3 linked regions of the Anolis sagrei genome follow. The protein of the gene in region 3 interacts with the protein of the main gene of each other region in a pairwise test. Links are inferred from orthologs where the notes say so. Each region holds a gene or a part of one and is shown on either strand. Other genes may lie near its edges. The genes, in order: EIF5, PPP2R3B and DUSP12.

What was found.
Region 1: the proteins of DUSP12 (region 3) and EIF5 interact in binary tests that used the Homo sapiens proteins (3 or more experiments, as listed by UniProt). The two-hybrid records come from large-scale screens. The link is inferred for Anolis sagrei from reciprocal best matches to the Homo sapiens genes DUSP12 and EIF5.
Region 2: the proteins of DUSP12 (region 3) and PPP2R3B interact in binary tests that used the Homo sapiens proteins (3 or more experiments, as listed by UniProt). The two-hybrid records come from large-scale screens. The link is inferred for Anolis sagrei from reciprocal best matches to the Homo sapiens genes DUSP12 and PPP2R3B.

Annotation. Positions count from the first base shown.
Region 1 is NC_090021.1:327,805,793-327,812,870, reverse strand, and holds the start of EIF5 (eukaryotic translation initiation factor 5), read left to right. Parts: upstream 1-4,070; 5' UTR 4,071-4,174; intron 4,175-4,263; 5' UTR 4,264-4,529; intron 4,530-7,078.
Region 2 is NC_090023.1:99,404,207-99,411,588, forward strand, and holds the start of PPP2R3B (serine/threonine-protein phosphatase 2A regulatory subunit B'' subunit beta), read left to right. Parts: upstream 1-4,359; 5' UTR 4,360-4,557; intron 4,558-7,382. UniProt on the Homo sapiens protein: The B regulatory subunit might modulate substrate selectivity and catalytic activity, and might also direct the localization of the catalytic enzyme to a particular subcellular compartment.
Region 3 is NC_090022.1:199,090,777-199,097,943, reverse strand, and holds the start of DUSP12 (dual specificity protein phosphatase 12), read right to left. Parts: upstream 3,072-7,167; 5' UTR 3,045-3,071; coding exon 2,569-3,044; intron 1-2,568. Other genes in the region: GDAP2 (ganglioside-induced differentiation-associated protein 2), read right to left, coding at 5,200-5,244, 7,129-7,167. UniProt on the Homo sapiens protein: Dual specificity phosphatase; can dephosphorylate both phosphotyrosine and phosphoserine or phosphothreonine residues. Can dephosphorylate glucokinase (in vitro).

The sequences.
Region 1 (7,078 bases), on a different chromosome or scaffold from region 3:
AACTTGGATGAAGGTTTAGAGAGTTTGCTTAACAAGTTTGCAGGTACCACCAAATTGGGAGGGATAGCTAATAGTCCAGAAAACAGGCTCAGAATTCTTAACAGGTCTTACAATGACTTTAACAGATAACCAAAGCTAACAAAATTAATTTCAACAAGGGCAAATGTAAGATACTACACTTAGGCAGAAAAAAAATGAACCGCAAAGATACAGAAAGGGTGCTGTCTGGCTTGACAACAGTCCATGTGAAAAAGATCTTGGAGTCTTTGTGGACAAGAAGTTGAATATTAGGCAACAGTATGATGTAGTAATTTAAAAAGCCAATGGGATTTTGGGCTACATCAAAAGGAGTGTAGTGTCTAGGTTGAGGGAAGTCATTAAACAGAGGTTGGATGGCCATCTGTCGGAGATGCTTTGAATGCAACTTTCCTGCTTCTTGGCAGGGGGTTGGACTGGATGGCCCATGAGGTCTCTTCCAACTCTATGATTCTATGGTGCCCCTGTATTCTGCTTTGGTTAGACCTCACATGGAATACTATGTCCCGGACTGGGCACAACAGGTCAAAAGAGATATTGAAAAGCTCGAATGTGTCCATAGAAGGGCGACTAAAACGATCAAGGGTCTGGAGATCATGCCCTATGGGAAGCGTCTTATAGAACTGGGTATGTTTAGCCTGCAGAAGAGAAGACTGAGAGGAGACAAGATAATCATGGTTAAATATGTGAAAAGGTGCCATAAGGAAGATGGAGCAGGCTTGTTTTCTGCTGCCCTGGAGACTAGAACTCAATGGAGCAATGGGTTCAAAATACAGGAAAGGAGATTCCACCTGAACATTAGGAAGAACTTCCTAACTATAAGCGCCGTTCAACAGTGGAACTCTCTGCCCTAGATTGTGGAAGCTCCTTCCTTTGGAGGCTTTTAAACAGAGGCTGGATGGCCATCTGTCAGGGGTGCTTTGATTGTGCTTTTCCGGAATGGCAGGTGGTTGGACTAGATGGCCCATGTGAAAAAAAATTATCAATATTATATTATATACAATATAATATATTATTAGCATAGCACAAAATTAGTATTATAAATTACTAATGGTTTTCTATATTATCTATTTTTAATTTTTTCGTGTCAGGAGCGACTTGAGAAACTGCAAGTTGCTTCTGGTGTGAGAGGATTGGCCGTCTGCAAGGATGTTGCCCAGGGGACACTCGGATGTTTTGATGTTTAGCATCCTTGTGGGAGGCTTCTCTCATATCCCCGCACACTTCAGCTGGGAGTTGAGGTTTCACAAAGACTTTTCTGTCACATAGTCCTGGTGCCTCACTAAACTATGCTGTTGTTGTTTATTCATTGTCGCTTCCGACTCTTCGTGACCTCATGGACTAGCTCACACCAGAGCTCCCTGTCGGCTGTCACCACTCCCGGCTCCTTCAAGGTCAAGCCAGTCACATCAAGGATACCATCCATCCATCTTGCCCTTGGTCGGCCCCTCTTCCTTTTTCCTTCCATGTTTCCCAGCATAATTTATTTATTTATTATTTATTTACGGCATTTATATGCCGCCCTTCTCACGCCGAAGGAGACTCAGAGCGGCTTACAAGTAAAAAGTAAATATATTATATTATTACCACAGCACAATATTAATATTATATATTACATTGTACTATAACATTATACTGTAATATTATCAGTAATATTACATTAATATAATATATATAGTATCATATTATTAGTAGTATTATTATATTTTATTACATTATAATATTATCAATATTATATGTATATACAATATATTATATTATATTACATTATATCATAAGCACAGTGCAGGAGACAAGATGGATATGTATATACAATATACTATATTTTATTTATTTATTTATTTATTGTGTCAGGGCAACCAGTCGATTATATTACATTTCTAACATAACAAAGCTAACAAACAGACAAAATACAAAATTTTCAAGCTTGGTAGCTGATTAAATGTCCTTTGACCAGTAGCTGGCCACTTGGGGTGCTTCTGGTGTTGCTGCAAGAAGGTCCTCCATTGTGCATGTGGCAGGGCTCAGGTTGCATTGCAGCAGGTGGTCAGTGGTTTGCTCCTCTCCACACTCGCATGTCAAGGATTCCACTTTGTAGCCCCATTTCTGAAGGTTGGCTCTGCATCTTGTGGTGCCAGAGCGCAGTCTGTTCAGCACCTTCCAAGTCGCCCAGTTTTCTGTGTGCCCAAGGGGAGTCTCTCACTTGGGATCAGCCACTGGTTGAGGTTCTGGGTTTGAGCCTGCCACTTTTGGACTCTCGCTTGCTGAGGTGTTCCAGCGAGTGTCTCTGTAGATCTTAGAAAACTATTTCTAGATTTAAGTCGTTGACGTGCTGGCTGATACCCAAACAAGGGATGAGCTGGAGATGTCTCTGCCTTGGTCCTTTCACTATTGGCTGCTACTTCCCGGCAGATGTCAGGTGGTGCAATACCAGCTAACCAGTGTAATTTCTCCAGTGGTGTAGGGCGCAGACACCCTGTGATAATGCGGCATGTCTCATTAAGAGCCACATCCACTGTTTTAGTGTGGTGAGATGTGTTCCTCTGGGCATGCGTACTCAGCAGCAAAATAGCACAGCGCAAGGGCAGATGTCTTCACTTTATCTGGTTGTGATCCCCAGGTTGTGCCAGTCAGCTTTCGTATGATATTGTTTCTAGCACCCACTTTTTGCTTGATGTTCAGGCAGTGCTTCTTGTAGGTCAGAGCACGGTCCAGAGTGACTCCCAGGTATTTGGGTGCGCTGCAATGCTCCAGTGGGATTCCTTCCCAGGTAATCCTCAGAGCTCGGGATGCTTGTCTGTTCTTGAGATGAAAGGCACATGTCTGTGTTTTAGATGGGTTGGGAATCAGCTGGTTTTCCCTGTAATAGGCAGTGAGAACACCTAGAGCTTCACATGTGAGGATTCCACTTCAGAAAGCTTCTGTTCTACCATCTCAAAGCTCCCTGCTTGAGCAGTAATGGGTAAATGCAACGTGCTGACAATCTTAGGTCTCTAGTAAAGTGCTTCTGGGACGTGTTGCTGGAGTTTCCTATTCTGGAAAGGCACACCAGATAGCCAAGTCTTCAAGTTCTTCCTATATTATATTGTATTACATTATAATATATTATCTATATTATATGTATACACAATATATTATATTATATTACATTATATCATAAGCACAGTGCTGGAGACAAGATGGATATGTATATACAATATACTCTATTATATTATTAGTAAAGACAAGATGGACATGTCTTCTGCTCCCCTCTGTCTTCTCTAAGCTATATGAGAACAAGCCCTATGAGAAGCGGCTTAAGGAGCTGGGCATGTTTAGCCTGAAGAAGAGAAGGCTGAGAGGGGATATGATAGCCATGTATAAATATGTGAGAGGAAGCCACTGGGAGGAGGGAGCAAGCATGTTTTCTGCTTCCTTGCAGACTAAGACGCGGAACAATGGCTTCAAACTACAAGAGGAGATTCCATCTGAACATGAGGAAGAACTTCCTGACTGTGAGAGCCGTTCAGCAGTGGAACTCTCTGCCCCGGAGAGTGGTGGAGGCTCCTTCTTTGGAAGCTTTTAAGCAGAGGCTGGATGGCCATCTGTCAGGGGTGATTTGCATGCAATATTCCTGCTTCTTGGCAGAATGGGGTTGGACTGGATGGCCCATGAGGTCTCTTCCAACTCTTTGATTCTATGATTCTGCTCCCCTCAGTCTTCTCTAAGCTATATGACAAACTATATGTCCCAGGAATTCATATCATTGCTTTAATTCCATCCTGAGGCTTCTGGCTATTGGGAATTGTGGGAGTTGGAAGTCCAAAACACCTAGGCCTGGTCGAGCGCTTTTCCTTCTAACCAGCCAGGCACTGACTCAATCTCCCTTCTCCCTTGCACAATGGAGCCCAGCTCTCGCGAGACTTGAGTCCCGCCTTGTCAACGCGATGTCCTTTTTTCGATGGGTGGGGGAGAGAGAGAGAAAAGAAGCAAAGGGAGGCGACGAGGAGCTTGATTGGCGGGTGGCGGGAGCCAATGGAACGCGCCCACGCCGAGCGCGGAACCAATCGCGGGCCGGCGTGGGCGTGGCCTCGGCGGCGGCTGATTAATCCCAGCCTTGGCGACGGGGCTGTTCAGTCGGCGCGAGAACATTCTAGAGGTAAGTGCTCGGCGGCCATTGCTGCTGCCCCTCCTCGGGCCGCCGCCTGGAAGGAAGCTTTGGCGCTGACTGTGTTTCCTCATCCACAGAGTCCCCGGCCCGCCCGCCGCTCCCGCTGAAACCCCGCTGAAGCCTCGGTGAGGACGACGCTCGGGCGCCCCGCTTCCCCTCCTCCTCGGGCGGCTGCGGCGTCCGCCTCCTCCTCCTCCGTGCTCCCCCTCCCTCCCTCGCTCGGCCGCGACCAGCCGCCCCGTGAGACCCCGACACCCTCGTCGATTTTCTCCTCGCACCGATTCGGCTTCGTCGCAGCCCGGGGCGAGCAGCGTTGGGTTTATGTCTGTATTGGACGAAAACGGTGAGTAGGCCTCTGAGGGAAATGAAGGGAGGAAGGGCGGTTGAACATCCGGGGACTCTGGTGTGTGTGGAAGGTTCTCTTCTTTGTCCTGAAGGGGGCGCTGTTTCGTAGGCGAAGCGCATTCCAAGAAGCTGTAGAATGGGCATGGGCACCTTGGGCCCTCCAAGTGTTTTGGACTTCAACTCCCACCATTCCTAACAGCCTCAGACCCCTTCCTTTTCCCCCTCAGCCGCTTAAGCGGCTGAGGGGGAAAAGGAAGGGGCCTGAGGCTGTTAGGAATGGTGGGAGTTGAAGTCCAAAACATCTGGAGGGCCCAAGTTTGCCCACGCCTAGTGTAGAATAATAATAATAAATGTGCATTTGTCACCTGCCTCTCCTAAAGGCTCAAGGTGGGCAAATTTGGGCCTTCCAGGTGTTTTGGACTTAACACACACCATTCCTAACAGTCTCGGGTCCTTCCTAAGCAGTTGAAGAGGAAAAGGAAAGGGCTTGAGGCTGTTAGGAATGGTGGGAGATAAAGTCCAAAATACTTGGAGGGCCCAAGTTTGCCCATACCTGCTGTAGAATAGTTATTATTATATAATAATAATAATAATAATAATAATAATAATAATACATTTGCATTTGTTACCCGTCTCTCCTAAAGGCTCAAAGCAGGGTACAACAAAACATAGGAACATGAAATGCAGCCATCCAGCATAGGAACACATCAGTCCAACATAAGGACATGAACTACATCCATCCAGCATAGGGAGGCGTAATATATCCATCCTACATAGTGCTTCAAAATGTTTGGTATTTGAGCATCCCGCGCTTTTGAAAATCTACTCCTTGGATCCTAATACATCAGTCCAACATAAGGACATGATGTAGGGAGGCGAAATATATCCATCCAACATAGTGCTTCAAAATGTTCGGTGTTTGAGCATCCCTCGCTTTTGAAAATCCACTCCTCGGATCCTCAGAACTGATTTTCAAAACCCAAGCGATGCTTAAACACCAAACGTTTTGAAGCATGAAATGCAGCCATCCAACATGGGAACACAAAATGCATCCATTCAACATAAGTACATGAAAATACATCCAGCTATCATAGGAACATGAGATAAATACATCCAACATAGGAACATGAGGTACATACATCCAACATAGGAATATGAAATGCATCCATACAACATAGGGACACGAATTGCATCCATACAACATAGGGACACACAATGCATCCATACAACATAGGGACATGAAATATATCTATCCAACATAGGAACACAAAATACATCCATACAACATAGGCACACGAAATGCATACATACAACATAGGAACACAAAATACATCAATACAACATAGGAACACAAAATACATCAATACAACATAGGAACATGAAATACATCCATACAACATAGGAACACGAAATACATCTATACAACATAGGGAGACGAAATTCATCCATCCATAGGCACACAAAATGCATACATCTAACATAGGGACACGAAATACATCCATCCAACATAGGGACACGAAATGCATCCATCCAACATAGGAACAATAATAATGAAACTATATGTATCCTGCTCCTCCCCCAAAAGAGCCGGGGGGGAGGGGTGGCTTGCAACAAAAATACATTATACATAGTAATAATCAGCGACCAAAGCAACATAAATCAGTAAATTGTAGTAGAAATACAAAAGCAACCACAAACACTAATTACAACATCAAAACATCACAGTAAGTATAAAATTATGTGCCGAAATAAAACATACACAAGAGGCAAAAACTAGCTCCTATTAATAACCAATTAAAATACGTCCATCCAGCATATGAAAATAAATACATTTACTTATTTGTTTATTACAGAGATTTCTTTCTCCAGCACAAAGCCAATGCGACTCACATCATATTTAAAACATACATAGAAATTGTAATAAATGTATTTTATATTCTGCCACCATTTCCCAGAAGGGACTTGGGATGGCTTATTTAATTACTTTAAATAATTAAAAACCATCATTACACAAGTATTAGGGGTTCATTAATCCTTAAAAACTTTCCGTATTATTGAACATTAAATTCAATCTAAGATTCCCCGTTCTTCTGTATCTATAAGTGCCTGGCTTCGGTTAAAAGCTGCTTCAAAGGAAAGTCTTTACATCTTTCCTAAATGTCATGAGGGTGGGAGCGAGTTCCACGGCTTAGGAACCGCACCCAAGAATGTACCTTCTCTAGTGATCTTTAAGTGCATGTTGGCCAGGGACTGAGTCAGAATCAGGGTCTCCTTACTAGACCGTATAGGAGGACACAGTGTCCCAAGTAACCTGGACCAAACTTGTGTAGGGCTCTATAGGTCAAAACCAGCACCTTGAATTGAATAGAAATACATCCATCCACCATATGAAATAATATCCACAATATAAAATAATAATAAATAAACTTTATACCCCGCCTCCATCTCCCAATAAGAGACTTGGAGCAGCTAAAATACATCTATACAATCATAATCAAATGAAGGTTTTGGTGAGGGGGACACGAAAGACATGTTTGTGTGGAATCT
Region 2 (7,382 bases), on a different chromosome or scaffold from region 3:
CAAGATTTTGCACACAGAGACAAGTGCATATTTTTTCCTAAGAGATCATTATTAAAATCACTTGCTCTTGTTCCATTGCTTTATCTCTGTTGTTGCTGATGTCCTTCACCGCTTTTCTCTGAATATACAGAAGAATTTCTTGTTTTCCTTTACTTTACACACTGACTGTTAGATAATTTTCCCCCCATTGCCCTGGCAACCCGTTTCCTTCTTCCATCTCCTGTTGCATTTGCCTTGACATTTAAAGTCTGCTACATTGGAATGGACATTAGAAAGCAGACTGCTTTTAGAAGCTTCTTTGTAATACAGTTGTTTGCCTTCAAGTTAACCCAGTCACAGTTTTCTTAGCAAGATCTATGCAGAGGGGGCAACCTCAATGGCCTCCCATTGAGGTTGAGAGAATGTGACTTGCCCAAAGCCACCCAGTGTATTTCCACGGATATGTGGGGACTTGAAACCGGGATTCCTGATGAAAGCATAATGCCAAACTGACTTTGTAATATCTGCAAGTAATTACTACCTTAGGGTGCATCTACTCTGTAGTTCTAATGCACTTTGACACCGCTTTAACTACCATATGCTATGGAATTGTGAGAGTGGTAGTTTTACAAGTCTTTCGATTTCTCTGTCAAAGACTGCTGGTACCTCATCAAACTACAAATTCTAGGTTTTCATAACATTGAGCCATGACAGTTCAAAGTGATGTCAAACTGCATTCATTCTACAATGCAGATGTGCTCTTAGTTAAGGACTGTACTAAAAAGGGAGGCTTTCATAGTTTGGATGGAACCAGTACGTAGGTTAATTGTGAGTGAGACCTTTTTCCAGGTAGCACCGCAACAGGCACACTGATCTAAGCTGGAAGAAGAGGTTCCTGGTGATTGAAATTAGGCAACTGAACTGGTTTTTCAGGAAGAAGTACAATCCTGCCTAAAACCAAATATAAATCTCCATCCAGATTAGGGGTCTTCTTGATCCCAGTTTCTCCTTACTTGCCTCAAACTATTGCTTCGTTGCACACCTAAATTAAGGTCACCCATCAAAACTCAGGGATGACTAGATGAGAAACAAATGTACTATTTCAACCCCACTGACACCTAGCCTGAATGCAAATTGTCCTCTTCCAGAAGTTAGTAAAGGTGCAGAGCTCATACAATACTACAGACCAACATAGGCTGTCTTTTCCTCTTGTCAGAGACAGAAAATGTGTGGTCCTTACGATATTGGTATCAAACTCACAAGAAATGGTTGGGAAACTGCATTAAGGAATGACGGTGTGGAAGGAGGCAATAAAGGGTATGCCAAAGCACCCCTAAAAATGGTCACACAAAGCCGGTGTCTCAAAACTACAACATACATTTAGTCATTTTAGACAGAAAATACACAAGAAAATACACACTATTGGGAGAGAATCTGAAATGTAGGCAAAGAAAGTTGGGAGAAGAGCTCTCCAATAATAATGGTGGTGGTAGTGATGGTGATTGTCCACTAATGGGAAAAAATTAATACATTGATTAGAGGGGATTTGAAACACTAGCAAAGGAAATGGGAAGAAGTTCTCTATTATTATAAATCATCATCATCATCATCATGAATGTCTTACCCACTTCTCTTGTAGACCAATGCTGGGAACTGCAACATATTAAAATACAACAGACACCCATTGAAAACACATAAACCAGTGAAAACATTAGTTTAAAAGAGCATATAACATCAAAAGAGTACAGAATTTAAAATTTATGGGTGATTAAGAATTCTTAAATACAAAACACAAAACACATTTTATATTTCCAGGCTCTTATACAAAAACGAAGAAAGATTCACAATCAACAGATGCAGGGTTGGAATATGATCACGTTCACAGAAAAGAAGTCCAGCCTGAAGTCCTCTTCTTCCTCATTCCTGACCTAAGGGGCATCTACACTGTAGAATCTAATCGCTATGGCTCAATGCTATAGAATCCTGGGAGTCGCATTTTAGTGAGACGCCAGTACTCTTCGGCAAAGAAGGGGAAAGACCTTGTTAAACCACAACCCCTACCATCCCATAACATAAAGCCATGGCAAGGGCAAACATTTGTCCTTCAGGTGTTTTGGACTTCAACTCCCACAATTCCTAACAGCCTACCGGCTCTTGTCAAAGGCTTTCATGGCTGGAATCAATGGGCTGCTGTTAATTTTCGGGGCTGTATTGCCATGTTCCAGAAACATTATCTCCTGGTATTTCACCCACATCTATGGCAGGCATCCTCAGAGGTTGTGAGATCTGTCTTTTTTTTTTTTTTGTCTTGTCAGGAGTGACTTGAGAAACTGCAAGTCGCTTCTGGTGTGAGAGAACTGGTCATCTGCAAGGACATTGCCCAGGGGATGCCCGGATGATTTTGATGTTTTATCATCCTTGTGGGAGGCTTCTCTCATGTCCTCGCATGAGGAGCTGGAACTGACAGAGGGAGCTCATCTGCCTCTCCCCAGATTCGAACCTGTGACCTGTCAGTCTTCAGTCCTGCCGGCACAGGGGTTTAACCCACTGTGCCACCGGGGACTCCTGAGAGGTAGCCGGAAACTAGGCAAGTGGGGTTTATATATCTGTGGAATGTCCAGGATGGGAGAAGTACTCGTCTGTTGGAGGCAGATGAGAATATTGCAATTGGCCACCTTGATTAGCATTGAATAACCTTGCAGCTTCAAAGCCTGGCTACTTTCTGCTTGGGGGAATCCTTTGTTGGGAGGTAACTGGCCCTGATTGTTTCTTGTCTGGAATTCCTGTTTTTTAGTGTTGCGTTTTATTTACTGTCCTGATTTTAGAGTTTTTAATACTGGTAGCCAGATTTTGTTCATTTTCATGGTTTCCTCCTTTCTTTTGAAATTGTCCACATGCTTTGTGGATTTCAATGGCTTCTCTGTGTAGCCTGACATGGTGATTGTTGGAGTGGTCCAGCATTTCTGTGTTCTCAAATAATATGCTGTGTCCAGTTCCTGTTGTCTCACCTCTGTTCTTAACTATGAGTTATGTAATGTTTGTAACTCGGAGACTGCCTTTATATGAATGCTATTCATAATAAGTCATTTGGTCTCCAATATTCTAGCTAACAGATAATACCATTTAATGATATGATCTCCATTTAAGAGACTATATCATTCTTCAGGGGAGCCCCCGGTGGCGCAGTGGGTTAAAGCACTGAGCTGCTGTGCTTGTTGATCGAAAGGTCGCAGGTTCGATTCCGGGGAGTGGCGTGAGCTTCCGCTGTCAGCCCTAGCTTCTGCAACCTAGCAGTTCGAAAACATGCAAATGTGAGTAGATCAATAGGTACCGCTCCAGCGGGAAGGTAACGGCGCTCCATGCAGTCATGCCGGCCACATGACCTTGGAGGTGTCTACAGACAACGCTAGCTCTTCAGCTTAGAAATGGAGATGAGCACCACACCCCAGAGTCAGACATGACTGGACTTAATGTCAGGGGACTACCTTTACCTATCATTCTTCAGACTTTCTCTTTTGTCCACACATCCCCAGGGATTTTCCATGTTCAGAATGTAGATTATTCTTAGTTTCACAACCCTGTGTGTTTTTATGAGCTCCCTGCACATAACCTACTCCTATTTTTATCTCATTAGAGTCTTTTAATCATTTCATCCTGTACATGTGGCCCGCCCACTGTTATCGTGATTGTGTTTATTTTGTTACTATGTTTATACTTTTTCTTCTTCTATGTAATTTTGATTATGTTGCTTGTTGTTTATGTTTTGATTTTATTTTGCTGTAACATGTTGTCCTGGGCTTGGCCCCATGTAAGCCACTCTGAGTCCCCATTGGGGAAATGGTGGTGGGGTATAAATAAAGATGATGATGATGATGGGTTCATCAGGTGCCCTGCTATGGCTGACTTCTCTGACTGAATTGGTCTGCAGTACCTTTCATGTTCCTTGATTCGTGTGTGGGCAATGCTGCGTTTGGTGGTCCTTATGTAGACTTATACACAGTTGCATGGTATGCGGTAGACTCCTGCAGAGGTGAGAGGATCCCTCTTGCCTTTTGCTGAACCTACCGGCTGTTAGGAATTGTGAAAGTTGAAGTCCGAAACACCTGGAGGGCCGAGGTTTGCCCATGCTTGGTGTAGATGCATCAGAGATTCTACATCAGAGATTTTCGAACAGTTGGGCTTCTAGGTTTCGAGGACCCCAACTCCCAGAAGCCCTTGCAAGCTTGGCAAGTGCTGAGGGCCTCTGGGAATTGAAGTCCGAAAGACCCGGAGGACCAAGCGCGAGGACACGCCGCTCGGCACAATGCACGGCGCGCGCGCTTCCATCCAAACATTCTCCGCCCCCGTTCATTGTCCCCTTGCCCGTAGTGCGCAGGCGCCATCGGAGCGCGCATGCGCGGAAGGAACCAAAACAGAAAACTTTGGAACTCCACTCAGAAGAAACCAACGGCTCGCAGTCAGACTGGGAGGGAAGACGGGGCTTGGGTTCCCTCGCGTGTTTTGTTGTTGTCTAAATTGGGGCGGACAGGCCCTTTGCCCGCTGCCAGAGGGCTTGTGGGTTGCTGGCAGCTTCGAAAGGTGAGTTTATCCCTGTGCGAGAAATCAGGAGGCCACGATGGCATCAGTTGTGCGGAGGAAAGCTTCTGTGTGAGTCTGCTTCTGTATGCCTTCAAGTGGTTTTCGACCCAGTCACAGGGCTTTCCTGGCAATGGGTCTTGGCCATGGCTTTTCTCTGAGGCTGAGAGAGTGTAACTCACCTAAGGTCAGCCTCTGGGCTTCCACTGTAGAATTAGTGCGGTTCAACACTTTCATTGTAATTGCTCCATGCTATAGAGCAGGCATGGGCGAATTTGGGCCCTCCAGGTGTTTTGGACTGCAACTCCCACCATTCCTAACAGCCTCAGGCTCTTTTCTTTTCTCCCTCAGCCGCTTGGGAGTTGCAGTCCAAAACACCTGGAGGGCCCAAATTCGCCCATGCCTGCTATAGAGTCATGGGTGTTGTATTTTGAGATTCCTCTTCTTTCACAACGAAAGAAAGGCGAAAGGCCTTATAAAACTACAACTCCCAGGACCCTATAGCATTGAGTCATGGCATAGTATCAATATGCATTGAATTTGCAGTGTAGCAGCACCCCATGTCTCCTCAGTCATAGTCCAACGCGCAGACTATTTCACTCTATGTTTGGAAATGCAAGGAGTGCTAGTTGCTTGTTTCTTCAAACTGTTTTTCTTGGGGTTTCACAAATATACTCAAACTAAAAGTGTGCAAACACATACAAAGATTTAAAAAAAGAACACAGAGCAGGTGGAAACAAGAAGGAAACAGACTTCTTTCCTTCTGGTGATTATAAGACCAAACCTATACATTTTTACTACTCCAACTAAGAATTGACTCAGCACATAGAAGATGGCTTTGAATGGCAGCAGATCACAGGAGCTGTCTTCATAGACCTGTCAGCAGCCTATGATACTGTGAACCACTGCCTCCTTCTGAGAAAAATGTGTAATATCACAAAGGACTACCACCTCACCCGCCTCATAAGAAACCTGCTACAAAACAAGAGCTTTTTTGTTGAGTTCCAGGGCCAGAGAAGTAGATGGCGGAAACAGAAGAACGGCCTGCCTCAGGGGAGCGTGCTTGCTCCATCCATGTACAACATCTACACAAATGACCAGCTACTGCCAGAAGGGACAGAGAGTTTCATCTATGCTGATGATCATGCCATTACTGCTCAAGCAGGGAGCTTTGAGATGGTAGAACGGAAGCTCTCCGAAGCTCTAGGTGCTCTTACTGCCTATTACAGGGAAAAGCAGCTGATCCCTAACCCACCTAAAACACAGACATGTGCCTTTCATCTCAACAACAGAGAAGCATCCAGAGCTCTGAAGATCACCTGGGAAGGAATCCCACTGGAGCATTGCAGCGCACCCAAATACCTGGGAGTCACTCTGGACCGTGCTCTTACCTACAAGAAGCACTGCCTGAACATCAAGCAAAAAGTGGGTGCTAGAAACAATATCATACGAAAGCTGACTGGCACAACCTGGGGATCACAACCAGACACAGTGAAGACATCTGCCCTTGCGCTATGCTACTCTGCTGCTGAGTATGCATGCCCAGTGTGGAACACATCTCACCACGTTAAAACAGTGGATGTGGCTCTTAATAAGACATGCCGCAGTATCACGGGGTGTCTGCACCCTACACCACTGGAGAAATTACACTGCTTAGCCAGTATTGCACCACCTGACATCCGCCGGGAAGTAGCAGCCAATAGTGAAAGGACCAAGGCAGAGACATCTCCAGCTTATCCCCTGTTTGGGTATCAGCCAGTGCATCAACGACTCAGACCCAGAACCTCAACCAATGGCTGATACCAAATGAGAGACTCCCCCCTGGACACACAGAAGACTGGGTGACTTGGAAGGCGCTGAACAGACTGCGCTCTGGCACCACGAGATGCAGAGCCATTCGAATATATTTTGAGCATGAGTTGACCCAGTACACCATTGTGTGACAATATATAAAATAGCATAATCAAAAATAACAATTTTTGGAATGGGGGGTGGGTATTTTCAAGCAGTGAATACAGAATCTGTGGCTATGGAGGATCTATTCTATTTTCTTTAAGAAGGCAGCTAGTGTTCCCAATCTTTCAAAAATATCTTTGTTTTTCTCTAATCAAAATGGATAATTTGTCAATTTCTGCTACATTGTTCAGCCCTAACAGCCATTCTACCAATAAAACAGTCTTCCATCTTTCCACATATAAAAATCTTGCTGCAATAATATTGTAGTAATATTCCGTGCTGTGTTAGTTGTTTTTCTAAACAAAGCTGAATCCACATTATGAACTTTGGAAAGTGTCTGCGGTAAAAACCTGAATATCCTAAACTTAAGGCACAAAATCCTAGTTGATCTTAGAAGCTAAGCAGGGTCAGCCCAGGTTAGCACTTGGATGGCAAACCAAAAAAGAGTATCAGGTGATGTGAGTTGTATTTCAGAGGAAGAAACTGGCAAAACTACTCTTAAGAATTTATTTATTTATTTATTTATTTAAGGCATTTGTGGGGCCCCTTTCTCAGCCTTACAGCGACTCAATTTCTTGCCTTAAAAACCCTGTGAAATTCTTGTGGTTACCATAAATCCACTGGTCAGTGTTTTTATGGATGTATAGTATTCTTTGCGCAGTTCCTCCCTCCTGATACTGACTTATCAAACAAGAACTACAATCCTATTTGTTAGGCCTTAGAGTAGCCTCACTAATTGTTGAAAGATGAGTCAATACCCAGGATAAATCCAATTGGGACTATAATGGAATCTAGTGGAAACTAACCATTGGCTTCAGGACATCGTGTCAGGAAAGATCTAGGTCAGAGGTTCTCAACCTGGGGGTTGCTGC
Region 3 (7,167 bases):
TCCTGCCGGCACAGTGGTTTAACCCACTGCGTCACCAGGGGCTCCTGTTTTTGAACTGTTTGGCTGGCAGAAGCTGGGGCTAACAGCGGAAGCTCATGCCGTTCCTCAGATTTGAATCTGCAACCTTCTGATGAGCAAGTTCAGCAGCTCAGTGGTTTAACCCACCGTGCTACCGGGAGCTCCTGTTTGAATACCTAAGTCCCAACTGAAATGCAGAATTCAATGTTTACAAAAGAAAAGCAAGTCTGAACCACTACAGACCCACTAAGAAAATCCAACAAAAGCTACATTCAGCAAAAGACAAGAGGGATCCTCTCACCTCTGCGGGAGTCCACCTGTGGACAAGTCTACATAGGGACCACCAAATGCAGCATTGCCCAAACACAAATCAAAGAACATGAAAGGCACTGCAGAGAAGTCAATGGCTCAACCTGAGAAGTCAATGGCTTCTTTGTGTAGTCTGACATGGTGAATGTTAGAGTGGTCCAGCATTTCTGTCTTCTCAAATAATTTGCTGTGTCCAGGTTGGTTCATCAGGTGCTCTGCTATAGCTGACTTCTCTGGTTGAATTCAGTCTTTCATGTTCCTTGATTTGTGTTTGGGTGTTTCATTTGGTGGTCCCTATGTAGACTTGTCCATACGGTAGACTTTTCCCCCCCAATATGTTTTTAATGCAGACACAGGTAGAATAACATCACAATCCATCACCATTTCAAAATACATATCAAATCTTATTTTCTTAGTGTTCTTAACTTTGCCGATTCTACCTTTATCTCCTACTTGTGTCTACCAATTTTACACCCCTCCCCCCACCTTCTGGGAACAGTACTTTCCTGCATTCAAATATTATTTTAATTGAACAATCGTAGAAAGAGAATGGTTCAGTTCTATATATTTTCCTATTTATTTGACTACCCCATTTCAGAATCCAATTCTTCTTGATTTATGATAGACTCCGTTGATAGTTTGTAACTATCTAAAGACCCACTAAGAAAGTCCAACAAATGCTACGTTCAGCAAAGGACAAGAAGGATCCTCTCACCTCTGCAGGAGTCTATCGTATACCATGCAGCTGTGGAAAAGTCTACATAGGGACCACCAAATGCAGCATTGCCCAAACACAAATCAAGGGATATGAAAGGCACTACAGACTACTTCAACCAGAGAAGTCACCCAAAGCAGAGCACCTGATGAACCAACCTGGACACAGCATATTATTTGAGAACACAGAAATGCTGGACCACTCTCACAACCACCATGTCAGACTACACAGAGAAGCCATTCAAATCCACAAGCATGTGGACAATTTCAACAGAAAGGAGGAAACCATGAAAATAAACAAAATCTGGCAACCAGTATTTAAAAAAACCTCTAAAATCAGAACAGTAAATAAAGAGCAACACTCAGAAATCAGGGGAATTCCAGACAAGAATCAATCAGGGCCAGCCAAAACCTCCCAATAAAAGATTCCCCCTTGCAGGAAGCAACCAGGCTTTGAAGCTGCAAGGTTATTCAATGTTAATCAAGGTGATCAATTGCAGCATTCACACTTGCCTCAAACAGGTAAGAGTTGGTTGTTATAGGTTTTTTTGGGCTATATGGCCATGTTCTAGAGCAGGGGTCCTCAAACTAAGACCCGGGGGCCAGATATGGCCCTCCAAGGTCATTTGCTCGGCCTTCGCTTAGGGGCAACCTAAATCTGAAATGACTTGAAAGCACACAACAACAACCCTATCTCATCAGCCAAGAGCATGCCCACACTTCTGACTGAAATAATAATAGGTTTATATGTTAAAATTGTTTTTCATTTTATTTATTGTATTGCTTTAAAATGTTTTTTTGCAGTACAAATAAGATATGTGCAGTGTGCATAGGATTTCATTCTTTATTTTTCAAATTATAATCTGGCCCTCCAACAGTTTGAGAGACTGTGACCTGACCCTCTGTTTAAGAGAATGTTCTAGAGACATTCTCTCGTGACGTTTCGCCTGCATCTATGGCAAGCATCCTCAGAGCTTGTGAGGTCTGAGTTCTTTGTCCCACCCTGGACATTATTCCACAGGTATATAAACCCCACTTGCCTAGTTTCCAACAAAGATCACAACCTTTGAGGATGCCTGCCACAGATGCGGATTTCAATGGCTTCTCTGTGTAGCCTGACATAGTGGTTGTTAGAGTGGTCCAACATTTCTGTGTTCTCAAATGATATGCTGTGTCCAGGTTGGTTCATCAGGTAATCTGCAACAGACCTCACATCTTCTGAGGATGCGTGCCATAGATGTGGGCGTAACGTCAGGAGAGACTGCTTCTGGAACATGGCCATACAGCCCGGAAACCTCACAGCAACCCAGTGGTCCGGCTATGAAAGCCTTCGACAACAGAGAGGCTGGATGGCCATCTGTGCGTGTGTGGGTGTTCCTGCATGGTAAGAGGTTGGCCCTGGGGTTCCCTTCCAACTCTGTGATTGTAGGACAGGCGTGGGCAAACCTCGGAGGAATTAGTCCAAAGCACCTGGAGGGCCGAGGTTTGCCCACGCCTGTCCCAGGACCTGCTTCCCCCCCTCCTCACCACTGCACCAGGAGGGCGCCCTTCTCCTTCCCCCGGACCCTGTCGATGAAGGCGGCGGCCTGGTCCAAGCGGCTCAGCAGGTCGCTGCCGGGCTGGTCGAGGGCCTCCAGGTGCAGCACGTCCTCCAGCCCCACTTCCCCGGGGGGCTCCGAGTCCACAGACAAGAGGGCCGTGACGCCCGCAGGCCTCTCCGCCGCTTTCCCGCTTTTCCCTGCAGGGCCCACGTACAGCCCCGGAAGGACCTCCACCGTCGTCATGGCCTCTGCCGCCTCCTTCTCCCTCGCCTGAGAATGTGGGAAAGCCATGCCTGAAGCCTTCACTTCCGGGTTTGCTTGAGAAAGTGGGAAGGCCCTGACCGAAGTCGTCACTTCCGGTGTATCTTCACAAAGCAGAAGTTGCACCCTCCAGGAGAGTTTAGCAAGACCAAGGGATCCTAGATTGTCTGTCTTTCCTCCACCACGCTGTGTAATTTGCATGATCCCGCCCACTGCCTCTCCCTTAACCCTTTCCTGTTCTTTTCTATGGTACACCTCAAACGCAGAGGAATTGAATTATTCTGACCCTAAAATGTGTCACTTTGATAGCCGCTGCTGTCCAAGACTATTGCCATCATGTCGTGGAGGAGCCACAGGATATTCACAAATTTATCAGGGCACCCATTTTTCAGGAAGATGGTCCACAAACCATTACGGTCCATAATGTCAAATGTCTTTGCAAGAACCTTAAAAATAGGAAGGGGCTGCAAGGACTATGTAATCCAACTCCACTTTGAAAGAATATGCAATTATATAGTTCCTGAAACAATGTAAAAATTCTAATGCCCTGCAAGTAAAATTGTAGACTAATTGAAGAATAAAAGTGGGCAACTGCACAAAGGGCTGCAACCATTTGTTTTCCAATTTCTTTGTGTGTCAGGAGCGACTTGAGAAACTGCAAGTCACTTCTGGTGTGAGAGAATTGGCTGTCTTCAAGGACGTTGCCCAGGGAATGCCCAATGTTTTGATGTTTTACCATTCTTGTGGGAGGCTTCTCTCATGTCCCTGCATTGGGAGCTGGAGCTGACAGAGGGAGCTCATCCACATTCTCCCAGAATACGAACCTGCGACCTGTCGATCTTCAGTTCTGCCAGCACAAGGGTTCAACCCACTGCACCAAATTATTATTAATAATACAAACAAAGTATGGATCGTTGATGTTGCAATCCCAGGTGAGAGCAGGATTGATGAGAAGCAACTGGAAAAGCTGACATGATACGAGGATTTAAAAGATTGAGCTGCAAAGACTCTGGCACAAGCCAGTCAAGGTGGTCCCAGTGGTCATCGGCACACTGGGTGCAGTGCCTAAAGACCTTGGCCTGCACTTGAAAACAATCGGCTCTGACAAAATTACCATCTGTCAGCTGGAAAAGACTCCCCTACTTGGATCTGCATGCATTATTCACCGATACATCACACAGTTCTAGAAACTTGGGAAGTGCCTGACGTGTGATCCAATACAACAGCCAGCAGTGATCTTGTTTGCTGTATACTAATCTTGTTGTATATCAAATAATAATAATAATAATAATAAATAATAATAATAATAATTAATAATTAATAATAATAATAATAGTTTTATCTGCCTCTCCTGGCACAGTGGGCCATGGCATCATATCTTGGTATACCTGATGTTATACAACATAACTTTCAGCTGCTATGTTGGTTACTTTTCTTTTTCTTTCTTTCTTTCTTTCTTTTTTGATGTTTTTGGTGATTTGGAGGATAAGGAGAAGCAGATCACTGCATTTTTGGTAGTTTTGGAAGAGTTTGACTGGGGTTGGGTAAAAAGAAGTCCAATGAAAAATGGGCTGAAGATTATGGGACACTTTTTGAGGAACCCGACGGCTGTGTGTGGCCTGCACTTTGTCCATCCCTATTTTAGAACATACAAACAAATTCATTTTAATACCAGTATTTCATTAATTGTTTTCCCTATACCAGCTAGAAATCACAACAAGGTCAAAGGAAATAAAAACCACAAGAGACATTAGTGATATTTGCTTCAGTTTTACAATTTAGCAGGAAAGCAGCAGCACTCTTGCATCTTTCATCATCCAGCAAAAAAAGGCAGAGCGCCACATTCAAAGCTAAGGAGAATTTACAAAGCTGACATTTATAGTTGTTTTAGAATTTTAAACAGTTCTTTGTCCAATCTGTATATATTTTAACAGTGAATTCCTCTGAATGTAGCAGCAATAATAAAGGATTCAACATGTAAATCTGATATAGCACTGTTGCATGGAAACCGAATCTTCTTCCAAACTGGTCTGAAGTGGCTGGGAGCAGAGAACGCTCACAGTCAGATTAAAGTATGTCCAATGGGTCTTTCGAGAAAGCAGTTTGTGCAATACAAAAATTGTTGTCATATACACCTAGCAACTTTTCTACGTGATACATCTGAAACAGTTCATTTGGATTTAGTTTACTGATTGCTTATATTCTTCCAAATTCCTCCTTGTAAAAAAATAACAGAGGCAGGATTACCCGCCTTCTGATCTCTGAAAATGAATTAGACCACCATGGTGCATATGGGATTGGCATGTAGCATGTCATAGAGAGTTCGGAAACCAAATGGAATGGCAGGGCTGCATAGTCAGAGGTCCGGAGAAGAGGGGTAAGAGTAGTATGATCCATTTTCCTGTAAAGATACAAAAGATGAATTGATGCAGTGTACACATAAAAACAAATAATCCCTAAATGAAAATCTTTTCCACCACAGCCATTCATTAGGTAACAAAATCTGAAATAAATTCTGTTCTTGGTCTGAAAATGTTCTTTCCTGTTTAATTGTGTGGTACTTACTTTGAAAGTAGTTGTTGTATTTTGTTTTTGTGGCTGCCACAAACTATGTTGAATTGGTTGAGAGTCTATGAGATATTTGTTAAATAAAACTATAGCAAAGTGTGCTGCAAGATGTCCCACAAAAACTTTTTTTTTTGCATTTTAATAAACTTTTACCATGTTTTTATGATAGAACGAATTAGGAAATGAAAATTATAACCCAGAAACAAAAATTGTGTTACACAGTGATATCTGATGGGTAGGCAAAGCATGGCTGTGAGCTGTATGTGCTTCCCAGAGCTGTTTTTGTGCCCCCTAAAGCCACCAGGGCTCCAAACATATTTTTGAAAAACTTCTCAAAAAAGATCAGTAACGGTAAAGGTTTCCCCTGACATTAAGTCTAGTTGAGTCTGACTCTGGGGGATGCTGCTCATCTCCATTTCTAAGCTGAAGAGCTGCCATTGTCCGTAGATGCCTCCAAGGTCATGTGGCCGGCACGACTGCATAGAGCACAGTTACCTTCCTGTTGAAGTGGTACCAATTGATCTACTCACATTTGATGTTTTCAAACAGCTAGGTTGGCAGAAGCTGGGGCTAACAGCGGGAGCTCACCCCGCTTCCCAGATTCAAACTGCCAACCTTTCAGTTAGCAAGTTCAACAGCTCACTGGTTTAAGCCACTGCACCTCCAGCGGCCCCGAAAAAGATTATTTTGCTAATAATGACCCACAATGCCCTTGAGGGGTTCAGGAAGGTCCCAAAACATGGTGAGAATGCCATGTCCTCTAGAGCAGTGCTCGTTAAAAATTTCCACTCAGGACCCTTCTTGACCTGATAAAATTTATATGGGTATAAAACCCATATATTTACTGATAACAAATCAGCATTTGCAAGGCTTTTTAAACAGACTAATTTTCCTTTTTATGAAGTACAACTGAAGCATCTTCTGCAGAGTCTACTGTAAACCCTGAACAACAGATTTGCATAAATGTCTAAAACAGCCATTTTATCATTTTATCTTGTCCATTTGGCCTGCCCATTGTGTTCAATTTTCTATTATGCTATTTTGCTTTGTTTATTTTATTTTGCCACTGTATGTACTTTATTGTGATGTAATGTTTGGTGTTGTATTTTGCACTTTATTTTGCTGTATTGTATCTTTGGGCTTGACCTCACGTTAGCTACCCCAAGTCCCCTTCGGGGAGATGGTGGCGGGGTATAAATAATGATGATGATGATTATTATTATTTGAAACACAACAAGATAATCCACAGCGGACAAGATCACTCTGCTGGCTATTGTATTGGGTCACATGTTGGACACTTCCCAATAATAATAATAATAATAATTATTATTATTATTTCTCCCTTACTTCAAATATGAAGCCCCTTGATGAGCAACCTTAAATAAATATTTGATAGGCTTTGAGGTTTTAAATCTTGAGTTAAGTTTTGCCAGTCTGCTACATCAAAAGATATTTAAAAAGTGTCTGTAGTAAATCACTGGCTTAGATAATGTAGTTTAATAAGAAAATATGAAAAAAAAACCTATTTTGGTAAGAAGTACTTTCACACCAACACAAACAGAATCAGTTTAAAGCAACTTTCCAGTCAAGGCACATGCTATAATAATTCTATAATCTTTCCAAGCAAAGAGGAAGAAAGCCACTTTTATACCTGATTTATGAAACGAATGAGATAAAGTCTAGAAAGAACAGACATTTATATCTTGAAACTACCTACCCTGGTATCATATTCAAGAACAAATGGAGGAAAGTCAAT